Linked DNA regions of Pelodiscus sinensis. The protein of the gene in region 1 interacts with the protein of each later gene in a pairwise test. Links are inferred from orthologs where the notes say so. Each region holds a gene or a part of one and is shown in the gene's direction. Other genes may lie near its edges.

Region 1 (10,364 bases):
GTGCCCCTTTAAGGGTTCCTGTGCTGGGAGAGGGCAGAAGAGTCTCCCTGGTTTGGCCCAGAATGGGCTACACAGACCTTAATTCAAACTACTTAATTCGAACTAGGTGTTAGTCCTCATAGAATGAGGTTTACCTAGTTCGAATTAAGCACTCCACTAGTTTGAATTAAATTTTGAAATAGCGGTTTGCATGTATAGCCACTATTAAAGTTAATTCGAACTAATGGCTGTAGTATAGACATGCTTCGTGACATACCCTATGACTTGGTCAGAAGTCAGGCCAAGCAGTCTGTAAGGGTATGTCTACACTAGCCACTTCATTGCAGGAGGAGTAACAGTTAATCCAAACTAAGGACTTAGTTTGGATTAACTTCTGACTGCCACGTGTAGCTGCAGGCAGTCAGTTTGAACTAAGGAGATTTTAAAATGACGCCTGCCTGGGAACATGCAAATGAAGCCCGGGATATTTAAATCCCAGGCTTCATTTGCAAGTTCGAATGCCTACATTAACCACCCTAGTTCGAACTAGGGGTCTCGTGTAGACATACCCTGGGTCTCTTTAAAGAGGCAGGCTATTAAAAGAAATATTTGAAGTGAAAGGGGCTAACCACTCCTGTGCCAGATGTAGATGAATCCTATTTCTCTATTAAAACACATGGCTCAGAGCCCTTACATCTGCCAGTGGTTCTACTGCAGTCACAGATCACCAGGCCCAGGTACTTACCATTTCCTGGGCAGCACAGATCTATAGTAGACATGATCCTTCTGCAGATTTCAGGACAGAGCACACTGTACCTGGACACCTTTCACTAGAGGATCTCATGCTCAAAGGAACCCAGTATAAGAGGCTGCACATCTACTCTATCTTGGTCTTGGTTTGTTATAAATTAATCCTTCCAGTGGGTCTGAAATAAAAAATTAATACCTACAGATGTGTCTTGCTTCATCCTACAATGTGCCTTATTATGCACTACAATTACAGGGAGAAGTGTTTTTCTGACACTGCTTAGTGTGCTCACTGGGCACTTAGGACTTTATCAGCATGAGCCAAGGACATTTTCTGGCAAAGTGCTGCAGGCAGTGCACATTCCCAGCCCAGCTCTGTTCTGGTGCAACTAAATCAACACTTAAGCTTTGAAAACTCCTAAATGGCAAGAGCCCAGACCAGACCACCACATTCAGGGTATGTTTTTCTCTTATCAGCCCTGAAAGCAATGTAATGGTTTGGATAGTTATGTTGATAAACCTAGACACCAGGAAGGGCTGTTATTGGATTGGAGAAAGGCTTTCTGTGATTGAGGAGCCAGTAAGGGAAACTGAGGCCACAGCACCACCCTTGGCCTCTAGGGGAAACTTAGAAGGCAGCCCATCCTTCTACACTGCTTGGATTGGAGGGAAAACTGGTATCTCCAGCAACTCACAGTTCATGCACCAAGTTGTCTCAGCCCTTTCCTGGGTCTCATGTGTCCTCTCTCACCATGGAAGGAGAAGAGAACTCCATGGGAGCATGGCTGTCTCAGTCAAGTGGGCAGTGTAGCATGACCTCTCCTTTCAGCACAGTGCACTGTTGCCCCCAGGAGACCCCACTGGCCCACAAGGGAAATGCAGCCACTATTAAATCCTCCTTCTCTTTCATTACTTGACTTATGGAGAAAGCCTCATGTCCCATGCAGGCCTTGGACAACTTCCCCATTATTGGAATTTCTTTTGTGTAGCCTGAAAGGAGTGGACTAGGTCACATGACCTAGCAGGAGGGCCAAGCCACACATGGGTTGGAGAACAGCAAAACCAAAGTGGCTACCAACAGGAGTGCCAGGAAAGAAGAGACTCTGCCCTGCCCTGCCCTGCCCTGCCCTGCCCTGCCTGATTACTGGGTGATGCCTGCAGGGAGAAATGCCCTTCACAGCTTGCTGTGTCCATGGTCAGGTAGATTGGTTTGTACTTGTGGCATGATCCAAATCAGGCTGAGAGTGGGAGATTGGTTTTAGCTGTGGAGGAGCAATGACAGCTCCAGTTCTTTGGCAAGTGATAGAAATGTAGCCGTGTTAGTCTGGTGTAGCTGAAACGTAAGACAGGACTATATAGCACTTTAAAGACTAACAAGATGGTTTATTAGGTGATGAGCTTTCATGGCCAGACCCACTTCCTGAGGTCAAATCGTGGACAATTGACAATTTTTTGGCCCACGAAAACTTCTTTGGCAAGAGCAGTGATATAAGCTGTGCAGGAGAGTGCTTTGAAACATGGCACAACCCATGTGGGTGAGCTTGTGTGTCTGCAACTAGGGTGAAGTTCACTGTTCTTGAAAAGACTTGAAGGGAAGTGATGTAACAAAGAGCTCTGTCCCAACCTCTCCCCTGGAAGGACCACCCACTGACTGCCCTCTCAGACCTACTTTCAATCCCATCTTGCCAGACAGAAAGTATACATGCCCACAGCACCCTAAGTCCTCTCCCATCCAACGCCGCTCGACTGTTTTAGTCTCAGATATTCATTTTTCTTTTGATTAAGATTTTCTTTTCCCCAAAATATAATAGCTGTCAGATGGTATCCAGACAGACATAGCTACCACCAGGGCTGGCCCAAGCCCTTTTGGTGCCCTGGGCACACGGCACATGTGTGGGCCTGCCTGTGGGGTGCAGGCCCACCCCCTCAGGGTGTGCGGGCCCGTGCGCACAGCGCATGCGTGGGTCAGCCATGGCCAGGCCGTGCAGGGCCCCGTGGCCATGGGGGGAAGTGAGTTGCTGGCCAGTGCCACGGGGCCGGCACTACAGGAGCCAGGCGCGTGGCACCTGATGGCAGCTGTAAGGGATGCTGTGCGCCCCTTATAGCTGCCATCAGGTGCCCCCCATTGGTTGGCGCCCTGGGCAGCTGCCCGGCTCGCCCATGCCTCTGTCCAGTCCTGGTTACTACAATGGGGGATAACACAAAGGTCTAGTCCATACGGAAGGGGAAAGTCGACTTAAGATTCGCTACTCCAGCTACATTAATTACGTCGCTGGAGTGGAAGTATTTTACATCATATTTTGGCGCCATCCACACAGCGGGAGGTGGATGGGAGCACACGCTCCCTTTGACTTCCTTTGCTCCTCATAGGAGTAGGACTGCTGGTGCCAATGGGGGAGCCCTCTCAGTTCCAATTAGCACATCTTCACTAGACCCATTAATTCAATCCCTGGAAGATCAACTGCATAGTATAGCGTAGACAAACCCAAAGAGCATCCAGTATTGTGCCGCTACAGACTCATTTGCATTCTCCTCTCCAGACTGCTTCATAGACCAAAAGTCCAGCACTCACCCAATCATTGCAGTAGCTTTGTTACAAATGTTCCAGCATATGAATAAATAAGGCTGGTAATGTCTGAAGCCCTTTTTTCTGGAAAAGGGGAAAAGTTTTTGAGGAAGTAATGGAAAAGTCAGTTAGACAAACTGGGAACAGGCTGTCATGAGTGGGGCCTGTACAGTCTAATCTAGTAGTCAGAGCAGACGTCAGGAGTCAGACCAGATCATTCCAGGAAGTCAGAGTCTGATGCAAGCCAGAAAGTAAAACTGAGAGTCAGACAGGGTGAAGATTCCGGGAGTAGCCGAGTTAGTCTGTTACAGAAAAAAACAGCAAGCAAATGGTCTGGTAGCACTTTATAAACTAACAAAACATGTAGATGGGATCATGAGCTTTCGTGGGCACAGCCCACGAAGTTACTAAAGCAGCTTGAAAGGGAGGCTGCAGAACTGAATTTAATGTACAAGTCTGATCCCTGCAACAGAGGTCTCAACAAAGACCTTGCTTGGATGACATGCTACATTCCACATTCTAATGACATAAAAAGCCAAGACCAAGACCAAAGCCAAGGCCAAGACCTTAAATGTATTTAGTACCCTCTCTATCAGCTTCATTTAGCATGGACTCTCTAATTCACAATTTCCCCCCTTTTTTGCCTTCTTTTTCCTTCTCTTCCCCCTCAATTCCCTTTCTTACTCCATTATTTATTTGGAAACTGGACTTCTTGCTCCATTCATCTGAAGAAGTGGACTGAGCCCATGAAAGCTCATCATCAAGCTACAAGTCTTGTTAGTCTCTAAGGTGCTGCAGGACTATTTGTTGTTTTTAAAGTTTTTTCAGTTACAGACTATCATGGCTCCCCCCCCCCCCCCCCAGACTTTAGATCAGTATTAGGTAGGTACAAAAGGAAAAGTCCTGAGAAGGAAGAACCCAGTTGTTTGGGTTAAATAGAGATTACAGACCAAACAGGGCTCCCAGCATTCCACCAATCAGATCCCAGGACATGCGACTTCTGTCAAAGTTCAGCTGCTATTCGGGAAACTGGTGACTGGATGCTGTATGGTAAATCATGGGTGCCTAGTACCACCGAGTCCTGTAAACCAGGGTTTAAGCCCCCTGGTTTCAGACACAGGATCCAGAAAAGATGTAATGGAGAAATGCTTGGTTAGGGTTAGTGGTCTACTTAATTGCAGAGAAACACTTTTCAGGTCTTGGTCACCGCACAAACAGCAAATTTTGCATATGAGTAACATACCTGAAAAATTTGCTATTTATGACATCATCAAAGCACAAAAAATATGTGATTCCTCAAACTAATAGCTGGGCTCCAAAGGCACAAGTCTATATGGGGGTCCTGGTATTGGTGTGTGTTATTGCCATGTGGAGGTCATGGTATTGCTTCTGTGCTCTTGCTGGCGGCAATGCTGACAGCAGCTGGGGGCAGGAGGCAGCAGCTGATGCCCAGGCACCCAGCTCTGAAGCTGCAGAGAAATAAGGGTGGTACAGAACTGACTTCAGAACTGAGTAGCTGGAGACCAGATTTCACTATCCATGATGCCATTTTCACAGCTTCAAATGTGATAGACCCCTAGTTATGGTTCAGGCAAAGACTAGAGATAGAGTTTTTCTTATTTCAATTTCATCCTCTTGCAGATAATCCAAGTGGCTTGGCCATAGTCCACAGGTCCACGATAGGTGGAGCCCTGCAAACCTGTGGATATCTGCTTTATATCCATTGGTATCATTTCTGCAGATATTGATGTGGATACAATTTTGTATCTGAAACCCTGCAAGTTTGCAGATATCTACTTTATATTCACAGATCACTTTTGCAGATTCAGATGTGGGTGAGGATACCAATTTTGTATCCATGCAGGGTTCTGAAGATAAATCCAGGTCTCCACTAGGCTACACTTGCGTCCCTGATAATGCAAGTAGGAAACATGAGCAGGGATTTCAGGCTACACTCTGATCTCATTTATGGAAGTATAAATACGAAGTGAATATATTCACCTAAATGTGGGTTTACACCAGAGTAATTAAAAAAAAGATTCTTGCCCCACGTTTTAAGAAATGCAGAGATACTAGCTAATCATTGATTGCTTAGACAACACTACATTTAATATTTAAGTGTCCTGAAGAAGATTAATTTAATAGGTAAACCTACAAAGAGAGAAGTTCCTGTGAGCGCTTAGTGAGGGGGCATCACATTTCAAACTAGCAGAGTGGAAACTTCCTGTGCAACTTTCAGATGGAGCATTGCAGAGCGTACAATTCTTCTCCTCCTGGTTCCTGTTGTCCATCTCTTTGAAAGCAGTGACGGGGTGAAACCAGATTGTCTCTCTCAGAAATATTTGTGGCGCACCTAAGTCTAGTTCCTGCACTCCAGTTTCCTATCAAAGAGAGCTCCAAAGGTATGAGAAGAACATTTTGTTGGGGTGATGGGGATCTTCATTGTTAGAGCATGTAGTTGTTGAAAGAGGTATAGTTTATTACTTTGGTATACTTCAAGGAATGAATGGAATTAGTCTGAAACAGACATGTGTTTGCAAATATTGTCTGTTTACAATATTTTTCTTCTCACTTAAATTTAAGAGTGACAGTATGGAATAGAGAACCATTTCCTTACTGGTATTGGTATTAAGTGACTGTGAAAGGATTTATTATTGCAGGCAAATCAGCATTTAAATTCTAAATTTCTGTATTTTATGCATCTCTGGTGCAGTGTATCTACTATATCCTTGAGGGAGTTTGCCTGTGAGCAAGCAAGCAAGTCTGTCTGTTTGGCTGTGTGTTCAAGAACTCCTTCTAAACAATTAAGAGCTAGGACCACCAACTTTGGTAGGCAGCTTCCTCTTACCCTAACTTAAAACAAGGTCAGTTTGGTTGTGCCAGGACATTGGGGTGTGCCTGGAATGCAATTGTTTTTCATACCATAAAAAGGGAGGGGATTGCTAGCAGGAACACTTATACTCTGTAATGATCACAAGAAGGCAGCAAGGGGCCAGAGATGGAGATGGGGACAGCTATAACTTCATCAGGACAGCAGAGGTCAGGGGTGGAGATAAGCTTCCCACTCAACCCCCAGCCAGTGTGGCCCTCACTGCAGCCAGCCCCATGGAGCTGCCACCCAGACAACATGGCCCTCACTGGCTCCTGAACTGGCTCCTCAGTCCCCTGCCTTGAGCCCTTCCTCATTCCCCAATGGTGACTGCAGCACCCACACATCCTCCAAACTCATGCCCTGAGCTCCTCCTCAAATCCCAAACCTGACTCCTACACCCCCTATACACACACCCAGCTCCCTGCCCTGAAGGACCCAATCAACACCAGAGAAATCTTCCAGTAGGACAACCTAGAAAAACAGTATAAGCTGAGGAAAACCAGAGATATATCTTGATTTTTTGTAAGGAATTTGATAGTGTTTCCCAAGAAATCTTACTTGGCAAATTAATTCAGATAATCTTGAATGTGAACATTATAAATGAATAAAACATTGTTTGAAATATTGTGAACCAAAGACAATGCTAAGTAAAAATGGACTGAGATTAATGGTAAGATCTTTATTATTTATCATCTTCAGAACTATATTGGAAACTGAATTATATAGCCTTCTAATGTAATCAAAATTAATGATTTTAAATGGAGGGGTGTTGCAAACACAAGATCAGACAGATAACACAGACCTACTTGGAAAGTTTAGCAAAGTGAGCACAAAATAATGTTAAAACTGTTACAGCAGATGTAGTAATCCAATACATGGCTATCCAGTGATAGGGAGAAATGAAACCAGTAATGATGAAAGTAACCTAGGAGTTAGAGTGGATAGCAGATCAGACATTTTGCAAAAAACTAGCTAACAGTTTAAGCATTGGAAGGTGCTCTGATTATAGGTCTGTGTCTCTATGGCCCCGATGAGTGTGGTATTCTTAGTGCATTTTCAATTTAGTGCACTGCCATTCTGAGTCATTATTTGAAGCTTTTATTATTTACTAGCATTACCCATCCCGTTGTGACAGTAGACGTACACTCAGGTTGGCCTGGCGCAGGGGGGCAAAAGCAGACCTAGCTGCCATTTTGCCCATAAAGGACCCATTGCTGCCATGGCCGTGTCCTCGCTGCTCTGCCCCCACCTCGCACTGCCCATGCACACCGTGCACTCACACCCACTGGAGAGCACCGGGTGCAGCTGGAGTTGGTTATCCAGGTGCCAGCGGGCTGTATCCTGACCAGCCTGCTGGCTCACAGCACTCCTGGCAAGGCGCGGCCTCCATTCCACGCTCAGCCCATGGGCTGCTAACTTAGCTGAACCAGTCTGAGGGGGAGGAGGGAGGATTTCAGGGTCACAGCAAGGGGAGGCATTTCGGGGCCAGGTTTGCAAGCATGGGGCATGGCGCAGTACTGAGGGGTTGACTCAGGTATTTAATGGGCTGCTGGGGGGAGTGGAGTGCCTAGGCTCACACCAGGAGGGGGCTGGATTCTGGCAGTTGCTTGGGTGACGGGACCTCTCAGACCCCACTTCAGTGTGAGTCCCCCCACGCCTGCTGACCATACAGCAGAGCAACCTCGCCCAAGTCCCGGCGCACTCAAGGTGGGCAAGAGGGACTGGGCAGTGACACAGGAGTGGCGCGCAGGTTGCACTGCCCGGGAGGGGTGTGCGCCATTACTCGGCAGTGGCTGGTTGGTCTCTGGCAACTCGGTGGGAAAGTTAAAGGCGCACAAAGTGCCTGAGCTGCACCTTCCTCCTCCCCCTCCCAATGCATGGCATCTTGTGACATGTCAGAGGCAGGGGAGTCTCGTGGGAAGTCTGTTCTCTGTGACAGAGGTCATGACGGATGCCTCTCCTTTTATAGCAGTACAGATTTGTTGAATGCCTACTGTGTAGCTGGCTGAACAGAACACAGGGACATGGGTCAAGATGTTCAAAAAAAGGGTACTAAAGGTAGCCTCCTAAATTCATAGTAGGCCTCTAAAAAGTAAATTCATGCTTAAACATACTGAGCACCTGTTGGTTCCCTCCAAGTCTATGGCTGCTATCGGGAGCTCAGCACTTCTCAAAACTAGGATACGTAAATAGGCACCTCCACACAGAATAGGAAGCCTAATTTTTATCCCTCATGTATGAACATTTTTGCCATGGACCCTGTCCCATAGATTTAGATAAATAAGGCTGCATCTAGATTGGCATGATTTTGCGCAAAAGTGACTGCCTGTCTACACTGGCCACGAGTATTTGCGCAAGAACACTGCCTTTGTAATGTACAAAATTAGTGGTTCTTGCACAAATATTCCGATGCTTCTGCTCAAGGATAAGCCCCCTTGCGCAATATACTTGTGCAAGAGGCCAGTGTAGAAAGCCACGTTAATTTCTGGCGCAAGAAAGCCTGATGGTTAAAATGGCCATTGGAGCTTTCTTGTGCAAGAGAGCGTCTACACCGGCACGGATGCTTTTGCACAAAAGCACATCTTTTCCATTAAAAGTATTTGCGCAAAATCATGCCAGTCTAGACACAGCCTAAGTGTTTAAAAAATAAAACAGAAAGTAGTGGGCAGATGGAAGGCATTCAGAAGATGCATTTTACTAAAGGGCCTGGAGGGACTAGCTTCTAAAGAAAGACTGAAAAACTGTGTGTGCAATGAACTTTGTTCAAGCCATGACTAAAAGGCGATACACAATTACTGCCTAGAAATACTGACAATGTGTCTGCACCTAGAAGCCAAATGGACTGTTCAGGGTGGTGTGAAATTGAAGAAATAGATGTAAAGCAAGAGTTCAGACAAAAGAATTTCCCAAGGTAGATGGTGGAAATCCCTTGACATGCAAGATTAGAAATGAGCCTGGATAAAGCCATGCAGAGAACCCTACAAGATGCTTAAGAGAGTAAGCTCCAGGCTGAGTACAGTGCAGGGCTGCTGTATCCACCATGCATGAGGTGGGGAGAGGGCCCTGTTTCACCAGCTAGGGAAGGGAAGCAATCTCCAGACCCAAGTTGCTTTTCATACCCTGCTTTGTTCTATATCACTATGGGAACAAACAACGCTAAGAAAAAAATCTCACCTGAAAATACTAGTCACAAGTCCTGGGGGCTTCCCTGCTTTGACCAGCCAGGGGGAAAGAGGAAACCTTTCCTTCCTGACTATCTGCACGCTGCTTCCTGAACTCCCTGGCATGTGAGAGGCAGGGATCCTTTCCCCATTCCAGACTACTGCTGTGTCCTTGTCACAGACTCCCAAAGGATGCATTATGCCAGATGTACCCAGAGCTGTCACGGAGCAGAATGCAGTCCCAGGGCTCTGCCTGTCTGGACTCAAGGAGCATTGTGCAATCAAGGGGAAGAGCAGGTGGAGGAGGTGCACATCTCAAATGGCCATTCTTGGAGCACTGATGCCTACTGGGGATCAACCAGTTAAGTAGTAGTTCTGCAGAAAAGGACCTGGGGGTTACAGTGGATGAGAAGCTGGATATGAGTCAACAGTGTGCCCTTGTAGCCAAGAAGGCTAATGGCATATTAGGTTGCATTAAGAGGTGCATTGTCAGCAGATCCAGAGATGTCATTATTCCCCTTTATTCGGTTTTGGTGAGGCCACATCTGGAGAATTGTGTCCAGTTCTGGGCCCCCCACTACAAAAAGGATGCGGAAGCATTGGAGAGGGTCCAGCGGAGGGCAACCAAAATGATTAGGGGGCTGGAGCATATGACCTACGAGGAGAGGCTGAGGGACTTGGGTCTGTTTAGTCTGCAGAAGCGAAGAGTGAGGGGGGATTTGATAGCAGCCTTCAACTTCCTGAAGGGAGGTTCCAAAGAGGATGGAGAGAGGCTGTTCTCAGTAGTGACAGATGGCAGAACAAGGAGCAATGGTCTCAAGTTGTGGTGGGAGAGGTCCAGGTTGGATATTAGGAAAAACTATTTTACTAGAAGGGTAGTGAAGCATTGGAATGGGTTACCTAGGGAAGTAGTGGAGTCTCCATCCCTAGAGGTATTTAAGTCTCGGCTTGACAAAGCCCTGGCCGGGTTGATTTAGATGGGATTGGTCCTGCCTAGAGCGGGGGGCTGGACTTGACGACCTTCTGGGGTCTCTTCCAG
Region 2 (10,933 bases), on another chromosome or scaffold:
CTGCTTCTGTGCCTCGCCAAGCAATGCTGCCCCAGGACTGCTGGGTGCACGTGCAGACGCACGCTGCCACTACCATGCTTCTCTGCATGGAGCCGGGGGCGAAGTCCTGTCCCCACCGAACTGCAGGGCGATTTTGCCAGTGACGTCAGTGGAATCAGCATTTCCCCGCACCGCGTTGCACCTGTCGCCTGTGTACCACCCTGCAGCCTCCACTTTACTTTAGAGACCCCTTACTGAAAGGATCAGTAGCTCTCCCAAGGCCGGGGCTCCCAGCTTTCTACATGCCCACCCTGCCCCCAGGATTCCCCTCCCAGCCCCTTCCATCTAGGGCAGTAATTTTCACCGGGAAGTACTTAATGAATTTTGGTACATAGTCATAGGCTGGCTCCACCCCCAGAAGGGGCGGAGCCTGAGACGGAAGGGGCGGGGCTGGGGACTAGCCTCCCCCCAGAGTTGTGCGGGGCCAGAGACTTTGAATTAAAACACAACAAAGGGCCCACGGCTCCTGGCCCTGCCACTACTGCTTTGCCTGGCAGCTACCGGGGGTTGCTGCAGCTATTCAAAGGGCTTGCAGAGCGCTGTGACCAGGAGCCGGGAGCCATTTAAATAGGATCCTGCTGCCTGAGCCACTGCCTGGAAATTCAATGGCACGGGCAGCAGGATAGCAACAGAAAGCGGCCAGATGCCGTCTGTGGGCCAGATCAAAGTGTTAGGTGGGCCGGATCTGGCCCCCAGGGCCAGCTTGAGTTAGGGCCTTGCTCCTATGTAGGGATGGGGAGAAGGGAGGCTTCTGACATCTGTTCTCAACCTCAGCTGGCATCATGACCCAAGGCTGAGAACCCACGTACTAATCAGTCAAATCAGTCACGTTCACTTACACCAGCTCTTGCTACTGTCGCTATTTGTGCATCTCTAAGGTGCCACGGGACCACTTGTCATTTTCAAATATACCTCTATGGTTTGTTCTGTGCATGGAATTATGAATGTGCTGGTGATCCACCTATAGGTATCCTATACAAATTGTGACGTAGTGGGGGTACCTGGCTGGTTTCTATGCTGCTGGCTCTGGGGTAACCCCCACTGGCTGCCGTGGGTACCACGACCCAGCAAAACAGGATGAGTCACTATGCAAACCAGTGGCCAGACACCCCCCATGGAGAGGAACAAAGGAAGGTGGATGCTGCCCTGGCTGGGGGGCAGGGCTGGAAGAGAGTTAGTTAGTTGCTGTCTGAGAGCATGGAGGAGACAGCCTAGGGAAAGGGGCTGGAGTTTAGGGGTCCAGTCTCCCCCATCTCAAGGGGGCCTGAGGCATCCTAGCCCAGCTCTGTGACCAGATTCCATCTGTGCTGTGCTGTATCCTGGAGAGGCAATAAACTTCCTCTATTCCACCGGCTGGTGCGGTCTGTTTGTGCCATTTCGGGGTGCAGGAGACGGGGGATCCCCAACGTGCCGTCACACAAATACAGGCTGACCTCGCTATAAGTCCAAGATATGTTCCAAAAACCTTGGACCTATAGCAAAACAACTTAAAACGGGGAAGTATTTTCCCGCGGCTGACTTCCATGTAAGCAAATTGGGGGGAGCGTTTTGCACAACTTATAGTGGGGAACAGGAGGACTTATAATGTGTCAGTTCCTACAAACGTCAACGACTTTAGTGTGGAATGGATGTATACCGGGGTGACTTATAGTGGGGACGCCCTGTAAACAGTGATACATATATACCTGTCGTTAATGGAGAAGAGAGAAAGGTTGGCCCTACGCCCTACCTCTGTCTCTCTCTGCGTCTGTACCCCATTGCCCCAAGCCGCACGAATCCCACGCTTGCTGATCTCAGCTTCGATTGCTGCCCCTTTCCCTCCACAGACACATTCCAAACCTCCTGCTGTTTGGGGGCTTTAAGCAGCAGGATCTGAATTGGAACGGCTCCCAGAGATCCTGCTGACAGGGCCGGGCCTGGGGGGGAAGAGGCGCATCTGTGCAGAGACGTACAGTGAAAGTCCCGTCTTCTCAAGCAGGTGTGACTAGCTTGTAAACAGGATGGTCAAATTCATGGCCGGTGTTGGGGGCACCCGGGGAATAGTCTGCCCTGTACACACGTTAGATTGATAAAGGGATGGTGTGGGAGGTCTGATTGCATTGGAAAGCGAGGTCGCATACACATCGCCCCGATGCTGCCTCGTGGTCACAAACACACACACGTGTGTGCACCACGGATCCACACGCACAGCCTGCAGTCTGTCCTCTCCCCGGCACGTTACCTTGGTCCCATTCGAACAGACCGGCCTGCAGCCATGACCCCATGCAGCTGTCGTGGAAAGGGTCGGGAGGACGTCATGAGCGTGTCCTGCGTGCATGATGTACTGCAGAAGCAAAACGAGACTGCAAGGAGTTGCCGTTCCATATTGCAACAGGGCGTCCTGCTCCTTGAAGGGCTGCAACCCGGGGACAGCCTACCCAGGTTATTAAACAGGCCCTCCTGGACAGGGAATTTGCAGGGAGCTGGAAGGTCTCTGCGTGTTGCTGGGAACTGAAGGCTGCAGGGATTTTGAGGCACCAGAGAAAACAGGTAGGGCAGGAAGCAGCTGGCTAAGGGATGTTAGGGACGTTGAGTTTTGTTCTGACCATTTACCCAGACCTGAAGGAGGGCTGTTTGTACCCAGAGACACCTGTGTGGAGGGGAAATGTAGGCAGCGGGCTGTACTGTCACCCCTATCCATGGGGGGGGCCCTAGGGAGGTGATTGACATCTCTTGGGTGCCAAGCCTCATGCCAGCTGTCTAGACTGGTATCTATAGAGCCACCATTTGTGCCCATTTTAGAAGCATTCCCCTTGCTGCCTAGGTTCCCGGGTTTCCTGACAGGCATTTATCACGCACGTTCTGTTTGCAGAAGGCATAAAGAATAGCCCTCCTAGAAGCATGTTCACATGATTGAAATATTTGGAAGCAGCTTGGTATCACGTCCCCAGAGCTAAAAGGGAAGTCACATGCTCAGTAAATACTCCCAAAGCCCTGGTCTGTTTGGCTAAAGTGCAGTTCTAAAAAGAGACAAACGTCTGCCGGAAGAATGTTTGTGGAACGGGCCCTTTGCTGTGCATATCGTCTCCATTTCCTTCTCCCTGGCTCACGCCCAGTGAAAGCTTCCTCACCCTGCGGCTGCTCTTCTCTTCCGTTTGAATATTTCTCCCTGGCTGACAACGCTAGATTTGGCCCCATTCTCGGACGCATGGGAACAAAAGGGTTTCTTCTCTCCCGTTTCCACAGGGGAGAGTTCTGCTCACACAATCAACTCATCTGGGGGCTTTTATGGCCTGTACCATGGAATGAATTGAGCCCTTTCTGATTTTAGCTGCATTTTATCCTTACGGAACCCGGGCAAGATACAGGGCAAGATACAGAGGCATCTCGATTTTACAGCCAAAGAACTGAGGCCGAGGTGAGACAGGAGCTGCATTCAGATCTCTCCTACTCCACCCACTAGACCAACCTCAGAGGTTAGACGAGATAGTAAACTATTTGGGGCAGAGGCTACCTTTTGGTTCTGTTGGTGCTGGGCCTCACATGGTGGGCCTGACCATGGATGGGACTAAGATAATCATATTTATGGATGGGTGCTTTTGGCTTTAAAACTCGCTCATCATCCTGCCTCTACTCAAGAGGAGGCTCCCAGTAGGAGGCTGTAGTAAGAACATAAGAACGGTCGTACTGGGTCAGACCAAAAATCCATCTAGCCCAGTGTCCTGTCTTCTGACAGTGGCCAATGCCATATACTCCAGAGGGAGTGAACAGAGCAAGGAATCATCATGTGATCCCTCCCCTGTCACCCATTTCCAGCCTCTGACAAAGAGGGGAAAGGGACACCAAGAATTTATCTGGTTCTTTTTTGAACCCTGTTAAAGTCCTGGTCTTCACAACATCCTCTGGCAAGGAGTTCCACAGGTTGACTGTGTGCTGCATGAAGAAAAACTTCCTCTTGTTTATTTCAAACCTGCTACCTATACATTTCATTTGGTGACCCCTAGCTCTTATGTTATTGCCTTGTTCCCATAACTTTTCCTTATACACTTTCTCCACACCTGTCATGATTTTAATAAATCTCTATCATATCCCTCCTTAGTCTCCTCTTTTCTAAACTGAAAAGTCCCAGGTTTTTTAATCTCTCTTCATATGGCACCCGTTCCAAACCCCTAATCATTTTTGTTGCCCTTCTCTGAACATTTTCCAATGCCAATATACCTTTTTTGAGATGAAGTGATCACATCTGAACACAGTATTCAATATGTGGGAGTACCATGGATTTATACAAAGATAACAAGATATTTCTGTCTTATTCTCTATCCCTTTTTTAATGAGTCCTAACATTCTGCTTGCTTTTTTCACTGCCGCTGCACACTGCATGGATGTTTTCAGAGAACTAGCCACCATGACTCCAAGATCTCTCTCTTGAATGGTAACAGCTAATTTAGTCCCCATCATTGTATATGTAGAGTTGGGATGATTTTTTCTAAAGTGCATTACTTTGCATTTATCAACATTAAAACTCATTTGCCATTTTGTTGCCCAATCACCCAGTTTTGTGAGATCCTTTTGAAGTCCTTCACGGGCTGCTTTGGTCCTAAGAATCCAAACGCCTTTGCTCACCAGCGGATTTTACTCTCAGATCCCTCCTTGACTTGGGTTGTGGGCCTAACAATTGCTGTGTACTCATTAGGGCTCTTCTCACGGAGTGTGGAGCCTGATCGTCCACACTGCCACTGTTAGCCCTGTGGCCCGAGTCTCTTGAGACACAATCAGATAACCCAAGCTGGCCACAGCTTTTCGACAGCAGAGTACGCAGAACATCAGCGACCCAGGCATCCTTGAAAGCTGCCCCCTCGAACACCCACCTGGATAACAGGAATTTCTGTGCTTTCTGCTTCTTTCTGTACATCGGTTACTCTACATGATTCTGACTTGAAGGAAGGAGGTGTGTTGTGTAGCCAAGAGACTGCCCAGCTTTTGAAATAGATGGGCTGCCTTTGCCTACCAGGAATGAGCCCTGTTAGACTGCAGAGGCCTGAAATTTGGTTTGATGAAGCACTTGAATGGAAGGGAGTGGGTGGAGAGAAAATTGTTCCCTCTTGTTAAAAGTACATCAGGGATAGATAGATAGATAGATAGATAGATAGATAGATAGATAGATAGATAGATAGATAGATAGATAGATAGAGTGGTGTATAGGGATAGATAGATAGATAGATAGATAGATAGATAGATAGATAGATAGAGTGGTGTATAGGGATAGATAGATAGATAGATAGATAGATAGATAGATAGATAGATAGATAGATAGATAGATCGTGCAGGGATAGATAGACGGATAGATAGATGGATAGATAGAGTGTATAAGGATGAATGGATGGATGGGTGGGTGGGTGTGCATGGGGATGGATGGCTAGACAGACAACAGGGAAGGAATATTATGTTTGCTAGGGGGCACCTTGTGTTCTCTGTTACCCCCATGAAATTCTGCACAAACTCCACAGACTTCCGTGGACTGAGCCTACTTTACAGCAGTGTGGCTGAGATGGAAATCAGTCTCTTGGGCCTGCCTCTGGACCGCTTAGTCACTTCACGACCCTCCTCATGCCTCAGGTAGCCCTGCAGAAAGGAACGGGGTGACTGGGGGCTTGGCTGGGTCCATGGAGGAGGGTGGCTGTAAAAGAGGCAGGGTGCGGACCCTGGTTGTAAGTGGAGGACAGGCCCAGGTGACTTCCCCACACCTTGTGTGTGCACACTTGCTGCAGAACCAGCACCGGGCCACTTTTAAACCACATTATTTTATTTTATTTTATTTTATTTTAGGAGTGAAAATAAGCAACTGTCTAAAAAACACACACAACAGCAAAGCAGCATCAGCTTCCGGCAGCGGGGAGACCGGGGTACTGGCCCCTTCTTAAGCAAACCAAACCCCTCAGGCCTGGCAACGTGCAGCCCGGTGGCTTGACTGACAGCTCCCAGAAGGGGAGCGCTGGTTATTGTTCTAGCTTCCCGGGCCTTGCATGCCGAGGTCTCTGCCCCTCCTTCCAGTTACTCTTCGGACCCCCCTAAATAGCTCGGGCGCGCGAGCTGCGCTCCGGGGAGGAGACAGAGCGCGGAGCTGTCTCTTTAAATGCTAGAGGCTGTGCGCTCTCAGGCCACCGTGACAGATCTGGGCGTTGGGCTGGGGGATGAATAAACAGTGAATGCACCAGATCGCTGGTTTCAGAGAAGGGCTCCGATCCGCCAGGATCCCCCTGTAGCTCGCCCCGCGCCACGGGTGGCCTTTAGCGTCCTCGCTGCCTGGCATCCCGCCCCTGGAGGGACTTTAATGCACGTTGCGCTGGTTTCCTAGGAGCTGCCGGTGCCAGGAAGGGCTGCCCGCTTTGGAGTGCGGTAAGTGTTTGGCCGGGCAAGCCGAGAGCCGGGCGCTTTCTCCTGCCGGGCGCGGACTCCTCTCCAGCGCGCCGCGCCGCCGGGAGACGCGTTTACACGGAGAGAAGCCCGCGGCGAACTCGAGCGGGCGCTCCGAAAGCCAGGCTCGCTCGGCAGCTGCGCGGGGCGCAGGGGGAGCCCGCGGCAGCTAAAGCGAAGTTTGGTGCGTTTCCACGGGGCTGGTGCGTCTCCCGCAGTAGCTTGTGATGCGCCGGGGCGCACTGAGGAGGCGGAGGAGGGCGAGTGGGTCCGTTTCCCGGAGGGTTAGGAAGAGCAAGGGGGCAGCCGAGAGGGGCGACGCCAGAAATCCCGGGTGTGCTGCCCCTCACCTTCCCCCCCCCCCCCGCTCAGCCCCGGGGCCGCGCTGCGCCCTGCGGGGCTCCAGAGCGCACGGCCCGGGGGGTGGCCACCCAGGCTACCGGGGGAAGGGATGACTCTGCTGGAGGAAGGTGGAAGCAGCCCCCCCCCACGGGGTTTCAGGCCGGTGACACGGGTACCCCTGCAGCTCCCCCCCCCCCCCCGGGCTCCAGTCCCCGCCCCTCCCCCAGGGCTGCAGCCGCCGCTCCTCTCCCCAGGCACAAATAGCAGGGGCTGGGCAGCAAAACGCGGAGCGGATCCGGGGGGGGGGGTCTCTGCTCCTCGACCGGGGATCCCCGACCCCACCCTGCCAGCGCCCCCAGGCAGGGACGCGCCGCTTCCCCGTAGTACTGGGCTCCAGTCGCCTCTTCCCACGTGGGCTGAGACCGGGGGTGCCGGGCGCGGTGGGATCCAACGAACCAGTGAGCGGGGGGTGGGGTATTTATAGCCGCCACCCCCCCCCCGCCAGGCCCGGGACACACCCTGCGGCCAGACGCAATCTGGGGCGTTGTCCCGCGTTAAAGGGGAAACTTTATAACTTGGCGCTGGCCGGCGCCTCCCTCTCTCCAGCCCCTGGCTCTGTGCGTCTGGGACACGGGGACCGGCGCCCGCTCCGGATTAGCCGCTTTGCTCGCGGGGGGGTGACTGCGGGAGCGAAGTAAGTAGCCGCCGCGCCGCCCTGCAGCGGGCTGTTTGCCCGCGGAGGACGAGAAGGGAGCGGGGGCCAGAGGAGGCGATCCCAGACGTGGAGCCGGGTCTTGGTCCCCACCTGCCAGGGGCTGCTTGCCCGGTGGCGTCTAGCTACAACTCCCCCCCGCCGGGCTTGGTCGCGGGTCCCTCTGCCGCAGCGGGGCCCGCTTGCTGCCCCCCCCCCCCCCCGGTTCTTTACAGCCGGGTCGCTCCCCTATACGGATTCCGCGGCCCTGACCTCACCGCGGTATAATTAGACACAGTGTGAACCCGCCAGGAACCTTAGCTTGGGCCCTCCCCGCCGCGCTCCGCTCCGGCTCCTGAAGCGCGCCCTGGCCGGTTTCCACGGGCTGCGCGGACTCCGCTTCGCTTCTCCCTGCCCGGCTAATGGCGAGGAGCCGACCGTGCAGCTGCGGGGCCGAGCCCCAGTGCGGGCGGCCGAGCGGATAACGGTTCCCGGCGCCCGCCCCCTCCGGTGGGGGCTGTTGGATGTTGAGCTTTGCCTTTGTTTGCCCGGAGAGCCGGGCTTTCGGGCGGCTTTGACGCCGCTTCCCAAGAGCCAGCCCCGCCCTTGGATCCCTGGCTCAGCCTGTCTGGGAAGGGCCAAGTGGAAATGTTGAGGCATTTAACAGAAGTTGCCCTTTTTCCATCTGACTCCGGATCATGACACGGCCAGCGCGGAAGGTTAGCAGGGCGGCGGCTAGCGCAGAAGCGGAAGATTCCTTGATCCTCAGATCGTATTCCCAGCCCCTCTCTGGGCGCCGCACAGGACCCCCACGCCCAGCTAGATGGACTGCCCTTTTCCAAGCCAGCTAATGTTTACCCCCTCCCCCCCAAAAGCTGGCGGTGCCTTTTTCAGGCATTTGTCTCTCGAGCCCCTCGCTGGATTCCTGCAGGACCCCCGCCCCTCCCAATAGCTGCATGAGTTTGCCAAAAGAGATGTTGCAGCGGCGAAGAAATGCCCTTCCTCCACATTTTTCGCGGGAGGGGGACCTGTGAGTCTGAAACAAACCTTTAAAAAAACAACAAATAGTCCTGCAGGACCTTGGCGATTAACAAAACGTGTCCATGGCATCCTGAGCTTTCGTGGGCATTAAAGTGGGGTGTGCCCAGGAAAACGCATGATGCCATCAGCATGGTTTGTCAGTCTCTAAGGTGCTGCAGGGCTGTTTTAATACAAATTGGGACGTTTCCTTCACTAGAGCCCCTTTGAAACAAAACACAGGACGATGTAGCACTTTAAAGACTAACAAGATGGTGTATTAGATGATGAGCTTTCGTTGGCCGGCTCATCACCTAATAAACCATCTTGTTAGTCCTGTGTTTTGTTTCAGCTACACCAGCCTAACAGGGCTGCATTTCTATCACTAGAGCCCCCTTGGTTATTCCTGGTTGGTTCAGCGCCCCCTGCTGCCCTTTCAGAGCTAACTCCCCCGAAAGCCGGACACACCCTGCAGACACAAATGCAGAGGCGGGACTGCCCTGGGTTTTGCTGCTGCTTCAAAGCTGTCTCCTCTCCCCCTCGCTTCAGATCGTTCCAAGACTTCAGCCAAAATGCTGCTCTTGTTGCTGGGGATCATTGTGCTCCATGTGGCGGTTTTGGTGCTGCTGTTTGTCTCGACCATCGTGAGCGTAAGTACAAACTTGATCCCCTCTCGCTCTTCTCCCTCCTGTCGCTCGTCCCACGGGTGTCTCCAGGACACATGGGGTGGCCAAAAGGACGTTTATCACCTTTCAAGTGAAGGGTTCAGCCTGGTGGTCTCTAGAGCAGTCGTTCTCTCTGCATTCGGGGTCTCCGCACACTTTGTGCACCAAATCACTGCTCTGCTTTGCACTCCTCCAGGGCCAGACCTTAATACAAGGCCCCCTCAAAGAATGAATGTGACCAACCTAGGCTGACCCCTATTTTAATATTTTACAGTGCAGGAGATCTGCTGAGCTAGTCAATTCCAGACTAGTTTTCCAAGGGTTAAAAAAAAACCACATTAAAATAATCACAGGATCCCAGATCTGGTTGTGATGCCTATGAAGCCATTAGTGTAGCTTTCCACACCGCTGGAGACAAGTGACTTTTTTTGGAGCTTTGGCCCATTTAAAGAGAATAACCAAAGTCTCCTCTTTATGCAGTTGAGTACAATGTGAAACATTTCCCTTCGAATCTCAGTTCAAATAAAGGTGTGTGTGTAAATGTTCATGCTTGTGCATGCTCTGAGAGAGATACCCGAGACACAAATAACCGCCGGAACCGTAAGAATTCAAAAGAATGAACACACACAAAGTCAAAAGAGTTCACAACAAGAATGAACATGCGCAGCTCTGTAGGATTCCTCACCAGCGCATGTGGTGGAGCACAAGTTTGTGTTTTGCTTTGGGGACGGCGCCCGGCCTCCCCCTGGCCTTCGCTGCTGTGACTTGCCGGCGCCTCTTACCAGTTTGTGTGTCTTTTTCAGCAATGGTTCATCGCTAACGGGCGTACGGCAGACCTCTGGCAGAACTGCAGCACTCTAGGTGTCTCGAGTTCCTTTCAGTGTATACCATCCTCCACGAACGGTGAGTGCCCTGACGTCTCGTCTGGTTCCTCAGAAAGGGGGAGTTCGCCCCGTTAACGCCTCCCCCAAACCTTTAGCGACGGCCACGTATTGCAGAGAAATCTCTGCAGCCTCTGTCTGGTACAAGTCCAGCCTTCTCCACTGAAGGGTTTGGTTCTGTCCTTCAGGTGAGGGGCTCAGTTACTATAGTTGCTCCAGGAGGTTGATGGTACAGTTTCTGGAGTACAGGCCCTGGGGAGGAGCGGAAGAATCAGGCCTGAAGTGAAGATGCAGAGGGAGGGCGAGGAATGTAGCTCGTTTAATGCACTTTTCTTCACGGGTCTTCTGGACTGCTCCTTATCTTTATCTGAAGGGCACACCTCCCCCGCTTGGCTGGGCCTCTGTCCGTCCAGCACCTCGCTGCAGGCTAGAAAGCCAGGGCTTGGTGCACGGAGGCCCAGCACCTTGTGCACTGATGGGGAAGGCGGCATGAGCTGCCGTACGATGGAGGATCAGGCCCACGGGGCCAGATCCTGGGACCATCTGTGCACATGTGAGTTCTCAGATGCCTGTGACCTCAGTGTGAACCCAGAGCAGAGCTCTTGAGGTCTGGGGAGGTACTTTAGCCTTACGTGGCTGTAATGGAGCAGATTTTGGGCCGCTGAACTACTAGCGGAGGAGGAGCCCTTGGTCCGGTCCTGTTGCCTGCCTTGCCTACATCTGGTCTGTGGTATATGGACAGTGGTCTCACCTGCAGCGGGACTGACCCCATGTGACCTCTTTGGCATGTGCTCCTTGCAGTTCTTACTAGGCGGTACCTAGATCCCCAAACATGGGCAGCCCTTGGGGTAGGGCTCTTTCCTGCTCCCCCACGGGTGTGGTAGCTCCTCTAGGCATGCTTCTTG
Region 3 (10,487 bases), on another chromosome or scaffold:
GCCTCCCCCCCCCGCCAGGCTCTGGTGTGTGGGGAGTGTCCTGGGCCCCCCCCCGCCAGGCTCTGGTGTGTGGGGAGTGTCCTGGCCCCCCCCCCCCCGCCAGGCTCTGGTGTGTGGGGAGTATCCTGGCCCCCCCCCCCCCGCCAGGCTCTGGTGTGTGGGGAGTGTCCTGGGCCCCCCCCGCCAGGCTCTGGTGTGTGGGGAGTGTCCTGGCCCCCCCCCCCCGCCAGGCTCTGGTGTGTGGGGAGTGTCCTGGGCCCCCCCCCGCCAGGCTCTGGTGTGTGGGGAGTGTCCTGGGCCCCCCCCGCCAGGCTCTGGTGTGTGGGGAGTGTCCTGGCCCCCCCCCCCGCCAGGCTCTGGTGTGTGGGGAGTGTCCTGCCCCCCCCCCCGCCAGGCTCTGGTGTGTGGGGAGTGTCCTGGGCCCCCCCCCATCAGGCTCTGGTGTGTGGGGAGTGTCCTGGGCCCCCCCCGCCAGGCTCTGGTGTGTGGGGAGTGTCCTGCCCCCCCCCCGTCAGGCTCTGGTGTGTGGGGAGTGTCCTGGCCCCCCCCCCGCCAGGCTCTGGTGTGTGGGGAGTGTCCTGGCCCCCCCCCCCGCCAGGCTCTGGTGTGTGGGGAGTGTCCTGGGCCCCCCCCCATCAGGCTCTGGTGTGTGGGGAGTGTCCTGGGCCCCCCCCGCCAGGCTCTGGTGTGTAGGGAGTGTCCTGCCCCCCCCCCCCCCCGTCAGGCTCTGGTGTGTGGGGAGTGTCCTGCCCCCCCCCCCCGCCAGGCTCTGGCCCAGTAAAGGTTCCCCACCCCCGTGGTAAGGGCTCCATTCAGTGGCCCCTGCCCGCTCCTGCTTCAAGGTGCCCATTCAAAGGGCCTGCAGGGACCCTGCCTCACAGAGGCATGTGGGCTGCATTCCCGGGGGGGGGGGGGGGGGGGGAGGAGTCCTGCCCCACCCACCCTTCAGAGCTTGGCTGAGTCACTGTCCTGAGGCAGCTCCGGGGCCCATGACCCTTCCTGGCCGCTCACGTCAGGCACCTGAGCGCCCTGCCCCCTGCGCCTCTGCCCCCGGCAGCCCCCGGCACCCCCGGCAGCCCCTCGCGCTGGAGAACGGGGTCGAGGGTGCCCGGGTCGCTGGAACGGAGAGTCCCAGCGCGTAAGGGCAGCAGGCGTCAGCAGATCACGGGGCTGACCTACAGCCCCCCCCCCCGGGAGTCCCTGCCCTGCCCCAGGGGAGCTGGGAGGCTGCTCTTACCTGCCAGCTCTTGATTTAAATGCGCCCGGGCCACCGCTGCCCGTGGCGACCTGTCGCGTTGGCGGGTCGCGCTCAGCGCTCTGGCCACGGGCCCCCTCGCTCAGGGGACGCGGGTTCCTCCTTTCCAGGGCAGGCTTGTCCCCGCCGTGTTCCCAGTGCTACCAAGCCACGGCGGCTGGCTGGGGGAGCGCCCGAGGCTTTGGCAGCTGCAGGAGGTGCTGGGTGCTAAGGGGGCCCCTGGAAATCTCCCAATTCTCACGGAGCAGCTGTGGATGCAGTTGTGGAGCAGCGGCAGGGCTCAGGTCACAAGCCAGGGCCAGGCCCGCGGGGGGTGTAAATCAGCTCAGTTCCACTGATGTCAATAGGGTGGGTGACACTGCTCTCCCCCAGCAGAGTACCTGGGCCCCGTCCCTTGAGTTATCCCTGGAACATTTCATTCCAGCCCCCTCTGGGCCAGCAGGTCTCCACCACTAACCCTGCCTGGCCCAGGAGATCTAAGGCTAGATCCAAAGCTACAGGAAAGTTAAAATCTAACATTCCTCTCCCGCCCCCTCCCCAGGCTTGCAAACACAACGGGCAAGTCTGTCAAATGAGCTGGCCACACCTATGTTAGCTCCTTCCCTCTAGGCAGGTCGATCAGTTACGAATTCACCTGTCTCAGAGGTGGAGGCTGCATCTGAAAGCCACGTCTGCTCCCAGCTGCGGTGGGTCAGCTGAAAGACCAAGATGTCATCCGCAGCCGCTTCAGTGTCCTTGCCTAGTGGCTTCTCTGTCCTGGCCACGTTTCCTGATTTCCTCTTTATCCCAGAATTCGTAAGTTTGGGCTTTTTTATTTCCTTGAATTGTAGAAGCAGCATGACCGTTAGGGTGGTGCCCAGAGACCTGGGTTTGTGGATCTCGGAGTAGTCTCAGGGGGAAGCCAAGTGCTGGGGTGGCAGAGAGAAGTTGGTAAAACAGGTAAACTGAGCCTGTTGGCTGTGAGGGCGATTTCCTGCTGAGACGTCTCTCCCTAGGACAAGTTTTCCTAGGGGGCCAGGCAGAGGCTGAGCTGCTGGCCACAAATCTAACTCGGCTGCAAACGGCAGGGGCCTGTTTCAATGAGTGGAGCTTGGCTGTACAGAACGTGGACGGCTGTAAAAGCTTAGCCTGTCCAATAAAGGGCTGGTATGACTCCAGCTCACACAGCGTACCCCAGGTCCATCGACGGACATGCTCTTCAATGGAAGAGTCATCTTCAATGTGTGAGAGTGGGCTGGCGACCCTGCTCCTCTTGGACGGTGGCAGCTGTCCAGCAGTCTCTGATGTCTGAAGAGTCATTTGAGACCGTGGGGTTACAGATGGTACCGAATGAACAGGCACAAGGAGAAAGAATTAGGCTGATTATATAACCGGAATATTACAGTGGGAGAAAACGGTAAGAAGTCTCCAGGCATTTAACAACAATTAATTAAAGATGTAAGTGAGGCTGCCTGAAAATTTTCCATCTAACCTGTTTTTTAACAGGAAAGTGGAACTTGGACTAAATGAAAACTTGTGAGGAGTATTTGTTTTCCTTTAAACATTTAGGGTTTTGTATTAAAACACAGACAACCCCCCAAATCAATAATTCAGATAAAAATTGTAAAATGACTTGTTTTGGGACCAAAACTTTTCAGTTTTACAGAGAAACGCTAACACTTTCCACAAGGGAGAAAAAGAAAATTCTGACCCCCCTCTTGGTGTGACAGGCAAACCAGAGTTCACAGGGTGAAAGGCTGCTGGCCCAGGGCCAGCGTTTCACCTGAACAGCTTAGGGATTTATTCACGGTCTCCCAGGGCAGAGTAGTGATATAAATGCAGCCGTGTTAGTCTGGTCCAGCTGAAACAAAAGACAATTCTCTTCCACATATTGATCTGAGGAAGTGGGTCTGGCCCACGAAAGCTCATCACCTAATAGTAATCTTGTTAGTCTTCAAAGTGCTGCGTAGTCCTGTCTTTTGTTCACAGGGCAGAGGCTCCTTTGTCTCCCGACTCGCCGCTGCCCCCTGCTCTGTGCAGTTTGCAAACAGCAGGAAGCCGGGGCTGATAAAGCCCTTGTCTGAGAAATGTCACTGGACAAGTACAACTGGCTGTGCACCACTGGTCAGCCTGTAAATGGTGCTTTCTGACCAACGACAGCTCAGCATCAGTAGGTCATGCAGGGCTGATCCTGCCCAGGAGTTAGGCTTGGTCTGCACTTTGGGCATGGCTAGACTGGGGGTCCCAACAAAACTCCGCCACGTCCAGGGGCGCGTTTGCTCTTCCGCTGTTTTTTAGCCGTAGAGCAGACTGGCTCTTTCGGAAGCCCCTGTACGCCCCGTTCCACGAGGAAGAAGGGGGCTTTCGAAAGGGGGGGGGGGGTCCTGAAATATTGCCCTGTCTAGACGGGCCAAATTTCAGAAAAGCCTCTTCCGACAAAAGTATCGGAAAAAGGCACGAAAATGCAGAGGGCAACGTGCGCATCTTTTCCCGCTAGACCCTCGCAGTCCAGCCGCACCCTGGCAGCTTGACGCGCAGCTGCAGCAATGCTGCCGGGGCGGCGCTGTCAAGTGAGAGGCATGGCAGGGACGGCGGGAGAGAGAGCTCCCAGCGCTCCGTGGAGACCACCCCGATGAGAGCGGCTCCCAGTGCTGGAGCCTGGTTCCCACAGCGCCATGAACTGCAGGGCCGGGGAGGTGTTTTTTCACACCCCTGGCTCCATGGGCGGCGGGAGAACGCTCAGCTGGGGAAGGCAAGCGCCAGCCCCACCCCCACCCTCTCTGCCCAAGGCCCCACCCGGAGCCAAACCCTGCCCACCCCCCAGCCCGATCCTTCCTGGCCGTGGGGCGAGCTGGGGCGCTGAGCCGGGCAGCCACCACGGCCCCCGACCCCGCTGGCAGCAGCCCCTGCCTGGGCGGTCGGGCGGGCTGGGGAGGCCGCGGCGCCCTGGCCCACGTTGCCGACTGCCCGTCCCTGGCCCAGACGGTCACAAGGCTCCAGTATGTCTGGTTCCAGGGTCTCAGGGCCTGGGAAAGGCTGGGGCCTCCGGCGAGTCCTTCCAGCTCCTTCACCCCTCAGGAGTGGGAGGGCTCAGCACCTCGCAGGCCTGGGTCCAATAGCACAAGAGCAAGCAGCCCTCGTGTTGCTCAGACCTGTGGCAGGGTTGGGGGGCCCTTTCTACAGCCCCCCCATCCAGCAGCTTCTGCAAGGCCCAAATAGACCCCTTTGCGTCCCCAGTGGCTTAGCACAACCTCCCACCCCTCAGCAGCCGCCCCGGGAACCGCGTCCCCGCCCCTCGGCAGCCGCCCCGAGAACCGCGTCCCCGCCCCTCGGCAGCCGCCCCAGGAACCGGGTCCCCACTCCTCGGCATCCGACCCCCGGGAACCGCGTCCCTGCCCCTCAGCATCCGACCCCTGGGAACCGGGTCCCCACTCCTCGGCATCCGACCCCCGGGAACCAGGTCCCCGCCCCTCGGCAGCCGCCCCAGGAACCGGGTCCCCGCCCCTCGGCATCCGACCCCCGGGAACCGGGTCCCCGCCCCTCGGCATCCGACCCCCGGGGAACCGCGTCCCCGCCCCTCGGCATCCGACCCCCGGGAACCGGGTCCCCGCCCCTCGGCATCTGACCCCCGGGAACCGGGTCCCCGCTCCTCGGCAGCCGCCCCAGGAACCGGGTCCCCGCCCCTCGGCATCTGACCCCCGGGAACCGCGTCCCCGCCCCTCGGCAGCCGACCCCCGGGAACCGGGTCCCCGCCCCTCGGCATCCACCCCCCGGGAACCGGGTCCCCGCCCCTCGGCATCTGACCCCCGGGAACCGGGTCCCCGCTCCTCGGCATCCAACCCCCGGGAACCGCGTCCCCGCCCCTCGGCAGCTGCCCCACAGGCAGAGGCAAGTCCCGCCCAGCGCCCCGGGGGAGCCGCGAGACAGCGAATGGGTTGGGGGGGGGCAGGCGGCTGCAGAGGACGCACAGGGGCTGGGTTCTCCCTCTGCCGTGACAGGAACCCGCCAAAAATCTCTGAGGGGGGTGGACAGTCCAGGTGTCCTTCGCTGCAGCGTGCAGGCCCCTTTCAGGCCGTGCAGCCTTCCCTCGGGCAGCCGCCATGGGGGAGACCAGGCAGCCCGTGGCCTCGCAGACTGGGACTCCATTTGGTACCCGGCCAGCTGCCACGTGGCTCCGTGCAAACAGCTCTGACCGGCTCCAGTCCTCGCTCCAGCACGTGTGAGAACGGGGGGGGGGGGCCCGAGGGCAAGAGGGGCCCGCCCCGAGCCAGGGCGTGGCCAGGCAGCCGGTGTCTGGGGGGTGCTGCTCAGCAGGACACGGGGCCCGAGCCGTAGCTGCTGTAGGTCAGGGTCACTCAGGTTTGCTTCCCCACCCTGGGGCCTGGGCCTGGGGAGAGGAAGAGGAAAATGGCGGGGAAGGGCCGTGTGTGCAGCGTCTGACGGGCTGATCCCCAAACCATCGCAAGGCGAGAACAGGGGTCACGTCTGTGCTGAAAGGCTCTGGCCAGAGGGACCTGGACAGTTTAGAGGATTGGGCAAAAGGAATCTGATGAGGTTCAATAAGGACAAGTGCAGAGTCCTGCCCTTGGGACAGAAGAATCCCAAGCATTGGTACAGGCTGGGGACCGACTGGCTAAGCAGCAGTTCTGCAGAAAAGGCCCTGGGGGTTACAGTGGATGAGAAGCTGGAGATGAGTCAACAGGGGGCCCTTGTAGCCAAGAAGGCTAATGGCATATTAGGGGGCATTAGGAGGGGCATTGCCAGCAGATCCAGAGATGTCATTATTCCCCTTTATTCGGCTCTGGTGAGGCCGCATCTGGAGTATTGTGTCCAGTTCTGGGCCCCCCACCATAGAAAGGATGTGGACGCATTGGAGAGGGTCCAGCAGAGGCGACCACAATGATTCGGGGCTGGAGCACATGACCTATGAGGAGGGACTGAGGGATTTGGGTCTGTTTAGTCTGCAGACGAGAAGAGTGAGGGGGGATTTGAGAGCAGCCTGCAACTCCCTGAAGGGAAGTTCCAAAGAGGCTGGCGAGAGGCTGTTCTCAGTGGTGGCAGAACAAGGAGCAATGGGCTCAAGTTGCAGTGGGGGAGGTCTAGGTTGGCTATTAGGAAAAGTTATTTCCCTAGGAGGGTGGGGAAGCGCTGGGCTGGGTTCCTGGGGAGGGGGTGGAATCTCTGTCCCTAGAGGTGTTTGATTTGGCTTGACAGGTCCCTGGCTGGGCTGACTGAGTCGGGTTGGTCCTGCTTTGGGCGGGGGCTGGACTGGCTGACTCCTAAGGGCTCTGCCCGCCCTGGGCTCTAGGATTCTGTGTGCCGTGTGGTGAAAGCTTCGGCTGGAAAGGGATCCGCTCGGTGAGCGTGAGCAAGTGTTCGAGCTGGACCCGGTCGGGTGTGTCACGTTCGGAAACGCTACCGCGAAGGGGAATGTTCCAGGGAGCGTTTGCAGGGCGCCTCTTGGCTCTCGCGCCCCCCAGCGCTAGTGGAGCCTGTTCACGGCCGGCCGTGCGGTGAGGAGCGCGCAGCTGGGGCGCTTGGGATGAGGGTGGAGAATGAACCAGCCTGTAACAAATCCTCAGCAGGAACTGGAGCAGAGGGGGGTAAACACTGTCGGGCCCGGGCTGGGGGGAACATGGGCTCCCGGTGGGATCTCTGAGATTACACTGAGCAGGAGCAGAAGCAGGCAGGAGCGCACTGGCAATCAAAACAGGCCCGGGAAATGGCTGAGAACGGCCCTCCCCATGACGTCACCCCTGCGCGCCCCTCAAGCCCCACCCCTGTGTCAGGTCCGGCACGCGGCGCAGGCGGCGGGTTGGGCACCGGCGGGTGGACACGACGGCCCAGCAGGAAATTGCCGGTATCCCGCCAGGCCAGCCCACCCCTGGAAGAGGGCAGGCAGGGATCCAAGAGGCGGGCCAAGCGCCGAGCCCCCCGTATGCCTGGGCCCCAGCTCGGCCGTCTGGCCCACGCTCCCTTCACCCCGGCGCCTGCGCCTGCCCACAAGCCCCAGGTTTCTCTGGCGTCTTTTCCCAGCTGTGCTGGTCTCCCAGCTCCTCGCCTCACGCCCCCTCCTGGCGCCAGCAGAAATGCCCCAGAGCATCCGCCCCGAGGCCAGGGCCCTGCTGGGAGCCGGCTGCTCTAGTCTGGGAGCGGGGGCTCCTGCCCCATGCTGTCCCCATAGCCCCCCAGCGCTCTGGGAGGGTGGGTCAGAGCCCTCCCCCTCGTGTCCGCTCTGCACGGGCCCTTGTCCCCACGGGCGCCCGACCGAGTCTCCCGGGCGTCCGCGAAGCCAGGGTGTGGCTCATTGCCCCGCCCGCTGAGGGGGCTCTAGGGAGGGTGGAACCCCCCGGCCCCGGTGCCCCTCGCTGGTCAGGCCCTGCCCTGGGCCGGAATCCAGGCCCCATAATAGTGCCAGGCCCCGGGCCTCCCTTCCCCCAGCCATTCCCCGAGCCAGAGGGAAAGGCGGCTCCTCCCAGGCAGGGTGGGGAAGGCCGCTGCTTGCCCAGGGCTGTCCCTGCCCCAGGGGCATCGCTACTGAACGGAGCTTGGAAGAGTCGCTGGGCAGCTCCAGCCCTGCGCTCCTGAGCCGGGGAGTTAACGCCCGGCTGCGGCGGGTCCCTGCCTGGGGAACGGATTCCCTCGCAGCTGGGACCCAAGCCCTCCCCTGCCTTCCGCCTCCACGAGCCGCCCCTGCTGGGAGGCCGACCCGGGCGCGGCTCCTTTTGACGCACCCCGGCCTCCGCCCTGCTCAAGGGCAGCACTCGGGGCGGGCGGCCTCGCAGGTTCCCCCGGGGCGGCCGGTCTCCTGTGATCACCGCTCGCGATTGCCCCGCTGTGCACTGAGCAGCCTAATCCTGTCCTGGAACCAGCCCGAACTCGCTCCCGGCGGTTCCGCCTCGGCCCTGCCCCGCGCTCGCTTCCCTGTCGCTGGGACTCAGCAGCACACGGGCGGCCCCGGCGCACAAACATGCAGCACGCGGGGAGCAGCAGGAAGGGGAGGGTTAGCCACACTCCCGGTTTGCAGGGCCCCCAGAGCTTCGTTGTGCTCGACGAGGCAGGGCAGGCTTGTGGGTGGCCAGCGCGTCCTGCTCCTAGGCCTGCTTGGCTGCAAGGCATTCTCAGGCCAACGGCCCGATAATTGTAGATACCAATTGTCTGGAAAACGCCTGTGGCCGTTTTATCGCTCCCCGCTGTGTGCTTAGGGGGAGTCACATACCGGCAACAACAGCTGATTAACCGATAAAGCGTTACCCAGCCCAGTGTGAAGCTGAAACTGCCTCCCCGGGCTGATAAAGCAGCCACATTTATCAGGGAAAACATTGACATTCGGTGCATTTATGCAACTCTTATTGTGGCAAAAGGGCCCGAGGCCTGATAACATGCTCATGCCATCGGGTCTTGCAGGGGGAACGCGCATGGATCGTGGTGACCGGGGATTTAATGACGGTTTGAGGCTTTGGATTTTGTATCATTCCCACAGCTATTTACTGCTGAGGCATTTGTTCCCTCTTTTAATAATTTAAATCTTCACGATTGTAGGAAGCGGTGGGGGCCAGACAATGGGAATGGGCGCCAGGTAATTATTTAACGCCGGGAGATGTCGACATAATAACCGTTAAAGCTTTATAACCATTGACCACGATTCGGCAGGCTCCCATGTCTACGGTAAATCTCCCAAAGGACTTTACTCGAAATAAGCAACGAGCCACGTCAATTGCGGAGCTTATTTCAAAATTGGGAGCGTCCACTCAGCCCTTCTTGCGACACAGAGCACGCTTCCTCCCACTTCCCCTCCTCCTCCAACAGTGAGGATACGTCTACACTGCGCATTGTTGGGCAATAACATATGCAAATGAGGTGCGGGGATGAATATCGCTGTGCCTCATTTGCATACCTAATGAGCTGCCATTTTTGCGGCACAGACGTTGGCCCAAGAAGGAGCTGCCTACACTGCTCCTTGCGCAAGAAACCCCCTTGAGCAGCCCCACAAGAGGGTCCGTCCTGGCAGCCTCAGTGCCCTGCCAAGCGGAGCTTCCTGGCGCTTTCTGGAGCTAGCTGAGCAGTTTTATTTCACCTTGGTGCTGGCTGCCCTGAGCGGCCGCTTCCTGCGTGACCCCGGAGTCGCTGGCGTTGTTCTTTTGCTGGGGCCCTAAAGAAACAGGTTTCCTGTGGTGCAGCTACAGAAACGCCCCCAGGCTGCCAGGGAACCACCCGAGCGCGCCGAGAGGGAGCCCGAGTTACATGCCTGCCTGGTTTGAAAGCGTCTTCATCAGCCCGTGCAAACTCAAGGGCCAGATTCCTCAGGGTTTGCTGAGTCCCGACTGTCAATTTCATCTCCCGGCCCCGAGCCTGGCGCTGGCCGTTCTGTTTAACTAGCCACAGCCTGGGCTCCTGTGCGGCCCCAAGGGGAGCCCTGCTGGGACGCTCGGCTGCTTCCCCTCCTAGGTGCCTGGCTCAGTTCTGATGCGTGTGCCCGATGGGCGGTGTGGCCAGCGTGGTGAAGCTGCATGCAGCAGCAGGCTGCCCTGTGTGGGCAGAAAACATCAGCAACGCCCTCCCGGCTGCAGGGCATCACGCTGGGCTCGGGCTCAGTCTCTGCCAGCGTCGACCCCGGCCCGCCCCAGCACCGCCCTCTGCCGCACCGGCCAGACCCCGCGGCCACCGCCCTTCCCGCAGCCGGCTCTCCCGGCACCGCCCTCTGCCGCACCGGCCAGACCCCGCGGCCACCGCCCTTCCCGCAGCCGGCTCTCCCGGCACCGCCCGCTGCCACACCGGCCAGACCCCGCGGCCACCGCCCTTCCCGCAGCCGGCTCTCCCGGCACCGCCCTCTGCAGCACCGGCCAGACCCCGCGGCCACCGCCCTTCCCGCAGCCGGCTCTCCCGGCGCCGCCCTCTGCCGCACCGGCCAGACCCCGCGGCCACCGCCCTTCCCGCAGCCGGCTCTCCCGGCACCGCCCGCTGCCGCACCGCCCAGACCCCGCGGCCACCGCCCTTCCCGCAGCCGGCTCTCCCGGCACCGCCCTCTGCCGCACCGGCCAGACCCCGCGGCCACCGCCCTTCCCGCAGCCGGCTCTCCCGGCACCGCCCTCTGCCGCACCGGCCAGACCCCGCGTTGGCCTAGTTCAGTCAGGCTCAGAGCGGGTGTGGGGGGGGGAGGCGAGCCAGGCGCTTAGCAGCAGGCGGGAGGTGAGTGCGGCTTGATTTGTGGCCCAGAATTGTGCCTGCCTGGGAGGAGCCGAATTACCCGGCG

The links.
Region 2: the proteins of NKG2-A/NKG2-B type II integral membrane protein-like (region 1) and PMP22 interact in binary tests that used the Homo sapiens proteins (3 or more experiments, as listed by UniProt). The two-hybrid records come from large-scale screens. The link is inferred for Pelodiscus sinensis from reciprocal best matches to the Homo sapiens genes KLRC1 and PMP22.
Region 3: the proteins of NKG2-A/NKG2-B type II integral membrane protein-like (region 1) and MAL interact in binary tests that used the Homo sapiens proteins (3 or more experiments, as listed by UniProt). The two-hybrid records come from large-scale screens. The link is inferred for Pelodiscus sinensis from reciprocal best matches to the Homo sapiens genes KLRC1 and MAL.

What each region holds. Positions count from the first base shown.
Region 1 is NC_134711.1:135,404,460-135,414,823, forward strand, and holds the start of NKG2-A/NKG2-B type II integral membrane protein-like, read left to right. Parts: upstream 1-5,559; 5' UTR 5,560-5,694; intron 5,695-10,364. UniProt on the Homo sapiens protein: Immune inhibitory receptor involved in self-nonself discrimination.
Region 2 is NC_134730.1:3,207,940-3,218,872, forward strand, and holds the start of PMP22 (peripheral myelin protein 22), read left to right. Parts: upstream 1-6,178; 5' UTR 6,179-6,414; intron 6,415-7,309; exon of another isoform or gene 7,310-7,468; intron 7,469-9,031; 5' UTR 9,032-9,054; coding exon 9,055-9,132; intron 9,133-9,950; coding exon 9,951-10,050; intron 10,051-10,933. UniProt on the Homo sapiens protein: Might be involved in growth regulation, and in myelinization in the peripheral nervous system.
Region 3 is NC_134713.1:198,052,904-198,063,390, reverse strand, and holds the start of MAL (myelin and lymphocyte protein), read left to right. Parts: upstream 1-6,478; 5' UTR 6,479-6,664; coding exon 6,665-6,747; intron 6,748-8,776; coding exon 8,777-8,813; intron 8,814-10,487. UniProt on the Homo sapiens protein: May be involved in vesicular trafficking from the Golgi apparatus to the cell membrane. Plays a role in the maintenance of the myelin sheath, and in axon-glia and glia-glia interactions.